2 linked regions of the Arabidopsis thaliana genome follow. The protein of the gene in region 2 interacts with the protein of the main gene of each other region in a pairwise test. Each region holds a gene or a part of one and is shown on either strand. Other genes may lie near its edges.

What was found. Proteins that work in one complex are often made in the same cells at the same time.
Region 1: the proteins of AT1G21200 (region 2) and WRKY7 interact in a two-hybrid assay, tested with the Arabidopsis thaliana proteins (one large-scale study listed by BioGRID).

The regions. Positions count from the first base shown.
Region 1 is NC_003075.7:12,569,822-12,574,279, forward strand, and holds WRKY7 (WRKY DNA-binding protein 7), read left to right. Parts: upstream 1-1,716; 5' UTR 1,717-2,108; coding exon 2,109-2,884; intron 2,885-2,986; coding exon 2,987-3,112; coding exon of another isoform or gene 3,113-3,116; exon of another isoform or gene 3,117-3,465; coding exon 3,466-3,625; 3' UTR 3,626-3,952; downstream 3,953-4,458. UniProt on the Arabidopsis thaliana protein: Transcription factor. Interacts specifically with the W box (5'-(T)TGAC[CT]-3'), a frequently occurring elicitor-responsive cis-acting element.
Region 2 is NC_003070.9:7,419,549-7,424,175, reverse strand, and holds AT1G21200 (sequence-specific DNA binding transcription factor), read right to left. Parts: upstream 3,029-4,627; 5' UTR 2,904-3,028; intron 2,713-2,903; 5' UTR 2,694-2,712; coding exon 1,362-2,693; 3' UTR 1,173-1,361; exon of another isoform or gene 780-1,172; intron 659-779; exon of another isoform or gene 565-658; intron 538-564; 3' UTR 503-537; downstream 1-502. Other genes in the region: LSM3A (Small nuclear ribonucleoprotein family protein), read left to right, coding at 3,320-3,436, 3,689-3,784, 4,107-4,187.

The DNA.
Region 1 (4,458 bases), on a different chromosome or scaffold from region 2:
TATATTCTGCATAAATATGTAATATTTTTAGCATCTTTTTTTTTTTTTTTTTCTCATAAGTGTAATATTTTATTCATTTTATCATTACCAGTACAATGCTTGGTTATGAGAAAACCAAAATAAAGCCCAAGACATCCCACATATAAAGGCTCATACGACACAAAAGAAGAGATAAGCTATAGACGTGTCAGACCAATAATAATAAGCTAGGGACACGTGGAACGTCCACAACCTTCACTAGTCCTGGACAAAATATTCGTTCGATCCGCTTTAACTCAATATTCGATTTGATTTGATTCGAAAAATCCGAATATTCGTAAGATTTTGGAGCAAAGCAAATAGAAAAATGTAGTAATCGTAAAAACCGAAGCAAATAACAAATACTATTTTTTCTAAAGTCGGATATTCGCTTCGATCTATATATATATATATATATATATATCACAATATAGGTTGTGCATTTGTATATGTTGGGATTTGGGCTTGTATTTGTATCCTTTGGGCCTGTGTTTTTTTTGTGACACAGTTTTTATTAGAGAAGTGGAATTTTTTAAAATAAAATTGTTTTATTTTTTATATTTTATCCTAAAATTGTCGTTTTACTTTCCAATCCATCAAATATAAGAGCGACATTTCTGTTTCCTTTCTTCGACCTTTCACTATTTTTATCACTCAATTTGGTTACAGAATTTATAACCAGAAAATTTTCAGTTGCTCTCAATCTCACACTCGTAAGTCATAAGGTAAGAAATTTGAAATCTATGTTAAATAATTTATATAAAAAAATATTTGGATGTAGCAAAGCAAAGCGGATATCCGACAAATATCATACAAAAATCCGGATATTCGTATTTTCGGATATTTGGAAATTTTCGGATCAAAGCAAATAATAAAATTAAGTATTCGATTAAAACGAATCGAATAACAAATATCCCAAATTTTCCGGATATTCGCTTCGTGCCCAGGCCTAACCTCCACTGCACATGAGACTCAAGCCTGGTGAATCAGAAACGTCGTTGGAAAATCACCGGTCAACGAGACTTCTTTTTTATCACCAATTAAAAGTTACAGAACAAACATCAATCTCCTAATCTCATCCGATTGCAAGAATCACAAAGGATTCGGCAAAAATGGGTAAAAGAAATTAGAGAAAACTGAGTAGTTCAAACTTGTCTAACAATTAAATCTCTTGCAAGAACAACAAAGGCATATCTTAATTGCATAGGAAACGAGCTTTGACCTAACCTTAGTCGTGGAGAAATTGAAACTGTCTTAAACACAGTAGATCCAAACGAACCTAATTGTCGAGAACGCACACATCGCCGGAAAACTGTTGGAGCCAAAAAAAACAGAACCCAACGGTGAAGCCAATCAAAGCAGAAAGAAACTAAATCATGCGAAGAGAACACCTCTTCGGAACTGAAGATTCTGCCTGTCATAATGTTTCATCATCAAGATTTTAAAGCTACAAAACAAAAACAAATCCGAAGAAACCGAATTCAAAATTGCCCAAAAAGAAATCTAAATCCCGATCAACGGGAGATAATAGCCGGAAAAAATCCAGATAACGGAAACCGGAAGAAACCCGGACGGCGATTCTAAACTTACATCGGAAAAATCTTTCTCTGAAAAATACTATAGAGAGAAGAGAGAGACCTTCCTCCTTTTAGATCTTTCTTTAATTAAAAATTTAATTTTTATATTTTTAGCATCTAATCAGCCTCAAAAATATAAAATATCTTAGATTTTTCTCGAATAATAATAACGAATATATATATAATTCGAGCTCCACTTGCTCCAAATTTAAAATCATTGACGCTGAGGAGTGTCAAAACGCTTGACAAATGATCACACGTGTAAGCCTATGAGTGGTGGTCGATTTGACTGATGCACTATCAACACATACCTAAAGATATAGAGAGAGAAACGCATATCGTTGACTCTCCCCCTTTTTCACTCTCTTCATTTATTCTTCCCCTCATCATCATCATCATCTTCTTCTTTAACCAAAAACACAACTTACAAGAAAACTGTTGAATCTTTGTATTTATTTACATCTCCTTTGACCTTTAATAAGAATCTGAGTGGTTGGTCTCTGATTTGATGAGATGACTGTTGAGCTGATGATGAGCAGCTACAGCGGCGGCGGAGGAGGAGGTGATGGTTTTCCTGCAATCGCCGCGGCGGCGAAAATGGAAGATACCGCTTTGAGAGAAGCTGCTTCTGCAGGGATTCACGGTGTGGAGGAGTTTCTTAAACTGATCGGTCAAAGTCAACAACCAACGGAGAAGAGTCAGACGGAGATAACCGCGGTGACTGACGTCGCCGTTAACAGCTTCAAGAAGGTCATTTCTCTACTCGGTAGATCTAGAACCGGACACGCTAGATTCAGACGAGCTCCCGCGTCAACGCAAACGCCGTTTAAGCAAACGCCGGTGGTTGAGGAGGAGGTGGAGGTGGAGGAGAAGAAGCCAGAAACAAGCTCCGTGTTAACAAAACAGAAAACAGAGCAATATCACGGTGGTGGATCTGCGTTTAGAGTTTATTGTCCAACACCAATTCATCGTCGTCCTCCTCTATCACACAATAACAACAACAATCAGAATCAAACAAAGAACGGTTCGTCTTCTTCATCTCCTCCGATGCTCGCAAACGGAGCACCGTCAACGATAAACTTTGCGCCGTCACCACCAGTCTCAGCGACGAACTCATTCATGTCTTCTCATAGATGTGACACCGATAGTACTCACATGTCATCAGGATTCGAGTTCACTAACCCATCTCAGCTCTCTGGTTCGAGAGGTAAACCTCCTTTATCATCAGCTTCGTTGAAGAGAAGATGTAATTCATCTCCCTCAAGCCGTTGCCATTGCTCCAAGAAAAGGTTTTGATTCAACTTCTATTATTAAAAATTAATCTTATTTTAGATCTAAATCTTGAGATTTGATTAATAAAACGTTAATTATAATTTGTGTAAAAAAATCAGGAAATCAAGAGTAAAAAGAGTGATTAGAGTTCCAGCAGTAAGTAGCAAAATGGCTGATATACCATCAGATGAGTTTTCATGGAGAAAATATGGTCAAAAACCAATCAAAGGCTCTCCTCATCCTCGGTAATTATTTTTTACATTTTTTACCATCGATATATATACTCTACACATACATCACAATCACTCACTAGATTCAACACCAAAAATCAAATATTGGCTAGAAAATTAAGCAACTTGTGTATTGTCAATATTAGTACCAGAGAGATTGTCAATATTGTTTTTTTCTATATCGGTTGTACCAAACATGTTGTCTAGTAGTACAGTAGTGGGTTCAGTTTCACGCTCTTTTTGACTTGTTGTTTCCTATAGAATAAATTTGAAATAGAAAGCCGAGAGTTAAGTTGACTATTTCTTTTCTCATTAATTAATAAGAACTCGAACTAACTGGGGAGGACTCGGTGTAATGGTTATGACAGGGGATATTACAAGTGCAGCAGTGTAAGAGGTTGTCCGGCGCGTAAGCATGTGGAGCGTGCACTAGATGATGCGATGATGCTAATCGTGACGTACGAAGGAGACCACAACCATGCTTTGGTTCTCGAGACGACGACGATGAATCATGACAAAACTCTTTAGTTTCTCGAGTTTGAGGGGAACTGTCTGTGTGTGACCACTATCCAGATTAGTCAACGACAGAGTGGGCCCGCACTGCACTTTTTTATTCTTTTCTTTTTGAAAAGCTTTTGCTTTATCTTTCTTTTTGATTGGAGGAAATAGAGGGAGGGGAGATAAAGACGAGAGAGGAACGTTGTGGATCTTGATGGAAGTTGAATCATGTGAATGTCCTTTTCTGTTTATTTATTTCTAGGATAATATATATTTAGTGCACTATTTTTGTCAAATCTCTGATTCTTTTCTTACTTGCAGAACTATTTGAGTTTTTAGGGAAATTATCAGTTAATTTAGATTCAACTGACCATAATGCTATGCTGGTAATTGGAAAAAATTGCAATTCAAATTTCGTTAAACAAAAAAAAAAAGAACTATTTGTAGATTACATAGTCAAATCAACTTAACACACGTTTATAGAAACTAGAAAAGTTGTCGATCAAATAATAAGTAGCTCTAATAAGTATTTATTTCAGCATTAGTGAAAAACCTCAGATGCAATGTCGTTATCCTTTTAAGTGTGTTTTTTCCAACAAAGTTGACAATGTTTATGATTATGTTAACGGCTATAAATTCAAGTGTAAAGTACTTCAACATTTAGTAAAAAATTTAAAGCTTTACTACAAAATTTTGTTACCAAGAAAATCAGCTATTCATGCATCATTGCGTTATAACTCTTCAATATCACTTTTAAGTGATGTTTTAGAGACTTTTTTTAAAAAGATGTTTTAAAATTTTTTAGACCAATCATATTTTAGAGTATGTTATCTAATTAGTTAAAATTTGTTTAATTGTATTAT
Region 2 (4,627 bases):
CACCTCTGGAAGAGACTTGATTACTAACCATAACACGCTCTGTTTTATTTTGAGGTTTACTTTAGTTTGCAAGTCAGTTTGGTGTGGGAGCCGCTCAAAGAGATAGTGAAAGCTTGAAATGCAGAGAGTGGATACAGAATTCCTACCTTGGCAGGGTCAGACTTATCCAGCTAAGCTGGATTTGTGGTTGGTTCGCTACAAACAGGTGTAAGTTGTTGACCAATGCAATTGTTACACGTCTCCAGCACTGCAGCTGCTCATGACTTGATATGCTATCAGCGTGAATGGGGATCACATACTCGGTGTAAAGAGTTCTTCTTCTGGTGCATTTTTGCGTATTGAAGCAACAAAGCATAAACACCAAGGCAGATACTAGAGTTCCTTCCCTTGTGGTTCCGGCTCCAACCTCAGGAAATGAAAATTTTCATGCTACGCCTTGATTGACTTCTTATATTCTCCATGCTAGGAAATTAAAATTTTCAAGGTTTTAATTGCACAGGTGTATGAAGCAGCGAGTCAAAGACGTTTACACATAACCTGCAGACCAAAAAATATGAGTTTGTTTCAAATTTAGAGTTTTCTGGATACTTAAAAGTTAATATCGAAGAAGCCCTCTCTTTGTTAGTAACTAATAAGTATCCAGAAAACTCTAATTTGAAAAAAACAGAAAGGAAAGAAGCTTCTCATCACTAACCAGCCAAAAAATGAAACACAAAAACTGAAAAGAAGCGCAAGCATGAGATGGACCTAAAGCAGGCAAACATAACATGCTTTTTAGTCAGAAACATCTTTACATTTATGTTGAAAGAGACAAAAGAAGAACATGTGACTGCAAACTGAAAGAAACCTTTAGAATATAGCTTCAAGATTCTTCAGGAAAACTCAATATCGTCAAACTGATTCATTTTCCACTAAAGGAGATGTGATGTGATCCAAAGTATAAACTGCTAAAGGTTATCTGGATCCACGTCCAATAGAAAATATGTATTAAGGTTCCATGTCGAAAAGTATTCAATCTTCTTAGAAGCAAATAGTTAGCAACAACTCATTCTCAAACTGGCTTAACAATGAGATATTTGTTACACATTGGATTAAGATGTCGAAAACAATACAGCAGAACAATGAAAATAACCTTAACCAGTTGAGTACTGAGAAGTAGAGTTAAAACAAACCTTAGAGAGCTGCTTATATTAACCACTCCTTTCTCACTACATTCACAAACTTCATCACTGATGCAACCACAAAGATCTCTCACATCAAAGTCTCGAGATCATTCCAATCAAAGCAAGCTTACAAAAGCAGAAAATGAGACTTCATTTAGCAAAGCTATATACCAATCAAGAGAAGTGAAGCCAATTCCGTTATAATTCAACACCCAATTCCCTTTGTTTCAACTCCAATCCCATCCGATCATTCTCAAGTTTCATCCTTTCATTCTCCATTCTCATTCTCTCGAGTTCTTGATCCCTTTTCTTGCTAAACCTCTGCCACCTGAATCTCTGTTTCTCCAATTCCAGCAATTCAACTTGGATCTGAAGCTTCTGCTCTTCTAGCTGGAGAGTCCGCGACTCCATCCACTGCTTCTGCACCGAACCTGCTCTTCCACTCTCCGCCCCACCTTGATTCACATCAGCTTGAGAAAACGGTATTTGAGGTAAAGAGACTTTATTACACTCCAGAGAATTCACATGACTCGGATGATCTCCATCTTCATGGCTAAGGCTTGGTCTTATCTTCTTCAAAGGACCACCACCACCTCCATAATGATTTACCCTACAATCTCCATACGCATAATGTTGCTCCTCATACTCATCATGTTCATCACCATCACCATCATGATCCTCATCATCAAGATCCTCCATTTGATGTTTCCTAGAATCATCATTATCATGATCATCTCTGCTTCTAAGCGCCAACTGTAACGAACGCTGCAAAGCAAGGTCATGAGGCAAATGCAACCTATTCCCATTATGATACGAACACATCTCTTCATAAAAAAGATGTTTAGAACTCATAATCTTCCTAACATCATCCTTCTCTTTATCATTCAAGTAACCAATCGAATCCAAAAGCGCAGGATTCTCAACAACTTGACAAGATGTTCCTCTACCAAGCATATCATTAAGCTTCTTATACCGTTTATTCAAATCATTGAACTTATCCTCACATTGCTGCGGCGAAACATGATAACCTCTCTCAGCCATAACTTTAGAAACAGATTTCCACTTCCCTTTCTTCTGCAAAACAGCAAACTTTCTTCTACTACTACTATCTATACTCGAATCATCTCCTATATAAGAAACAGCAGTAATCAACAACTTCACCATCTTATCAGTCCATTTCACTCGTTGCCATGGAGATCCTTTAGTTGATCTATTAGCTTCATTATGAACACCATCACCACCTTCCTCTGTGAAACTTGGTTCATCATCATCACTCACTGAATTCTTCTCTCTTTCAGCTTTCTGTTGCTCAGACATAGACATGTTCTGATTCTGATGATGATCACAGGTTTGACCTGTAACCATAGTAAAGGGAAGACCTTCATGAAGTGGTCTAGAATTAGGATTGTGTCGATGCTGCTGATTCATGGAGTCTTGGTGATGAACTCTCATAGAACCTTGTAAATCAAATCCTCCATAAGATGAAGCTCCACTACGAACTACACCTCCTTGTGGAAAATTCCCATCCATTTTTGGATCAAATTTCTTCCTAATTCATCAGAGAAATCGAAGAGAAAACAGATCTCAAAAAGTCAAAACCTTTGTCAACAAAATTAGTACTGGATCTTAGGGGAATATTAAAGATCGAAACTTTAGGAGAGAATGAAGCAGAGAGGAATCGGGATGAAGAAAATAAAGCGGTAAATATATGAGAGATGAGTCAAAGGAAGTAAAACTCACAGAAAAAAGTTTGCTTTCGTCTTCTCCGGTCAGCTTCCTCAGGTTTCTCTTCTCTCTCTGTATATGACAAAAGGCTTTTTGATTAAAACAACCAATATAAAGATTATAGTAAATTTAGTGTAATGAAATGACCAATTGATACCTTGTGATTGGACTTAATATAGTTAAGTTCCACTAACCATGATTTATTTGCATTAGATGATTTATTATCTTCATAATACTTCGACGAAAAAAAAAAAAAGAGCTAACCATATTGGGCCGATATGAGAGCCCAAAAACATAGTAAAAGGCCGAATCGTAAGATGTTGGTTTGAAGTTTTTAGGGAACCAACGGTGGCGATTGCTTGAGCTCAGTCAGAGAGATATCGCCGAGAGCACTACAATTTCAAAACCCTCGGAGAAGTTATAATCAGAAAATGTCAGTCGAGGAAGACGCCACCGTTAGAGAGCCACTCGATCTGATTCGGTTGAGTATCGAAGAGAGGATCTATGTCAAGCTCCGATCTGACCGTGAACTCCGCGGCAAGCTTCACGTACGTTCTTAACCACTCGGATTCCAGAAACCAGTAACCAGATGTGATCTTTTTCGATTTTGAGCTCCTTTTTGAATTCCTTATTCGTTGAATTTAACACTAGTTTTTATTCTTTTCACAAATATCAAAATTTGGACCCATTTTGTTGAGTTTCAGTTTCGAAAGCCTCAGCGAGAGCTAATTGGCGTAGAAAACCTCATAATCTTGTTAAATTCTAAGACTCTCACTTTTGTTGTTGTTTTTGTGGTGTAGGCTTTTGATCAGCATTTGAATATGATTCTGGGTGATGTTGAAGAGGTTATTACGACTATAGAAATCGACGACGAGACATATGAAGAGATTGTTCGGGTATGTAATTCTCTTAGCTCAATAAGATTTATTAATCTATGTAGGCTTTAGTAGTAAGATAAACGTTTTTGGGTTCAAAATATTTCAGCTATCACAGTATCTATTGTCTATGTCTCTGTTTGAGTTTAAAGGAGAGCTTGATTCATGTAGAAGTTAATAGTGCTGGTTACATAGAGAGTGTTCATTACCAATATAGTAACTCTGTTTAGTTTCTCAAACTTGAATTTTGTTGTTTGCGCTCCAAATGTGATGTGCTAACTTCTCATTAGACTAGTGTAGAATCATATGTTCTTCTCCTGCTGATGTAACTTGCTTCTGTCAGACAACGAAGCGAACGGTACCGTTTCTATTCGTGAGAGGAGATGGAGTGATATTGGTGTCACCGCCTTTGAGGACGACCTAAATGTTCTTGTGTACTGGGATCGGAGTTAACAAATCTGGCGCTGAGTAAAAGCACTTTTTTCTGATTACTTGGCTTTTGAATTTGTAATTGTGTGGTATGTTTTTCTTTGTTGTCAAACATTGAAACCGAATGTAGCATTCGAATCTTGGTAATGGGTGCCTCGTTATAGTAGAATCAGTGTAACATACTTCGTATTGTGACTTTCTTACCGTTTACGATCGGATTTAGTTTCGTTTTCTGGTTTGGTGTAGTTTTCTCTAAAGATTTGTATACTTCCTCAAACTCATTGATTTCGAGCTCTATTATGAATAGTGATTGGTGACATATTTAGATGTGTGTAACCCTAGGAAAGACATTTTGATTAACCAAACCATCAAATTGATTCACAGTACAGGAGGCTGAAAACGCAAACAAGATTGATTTCATGAGAAAAGATTAAT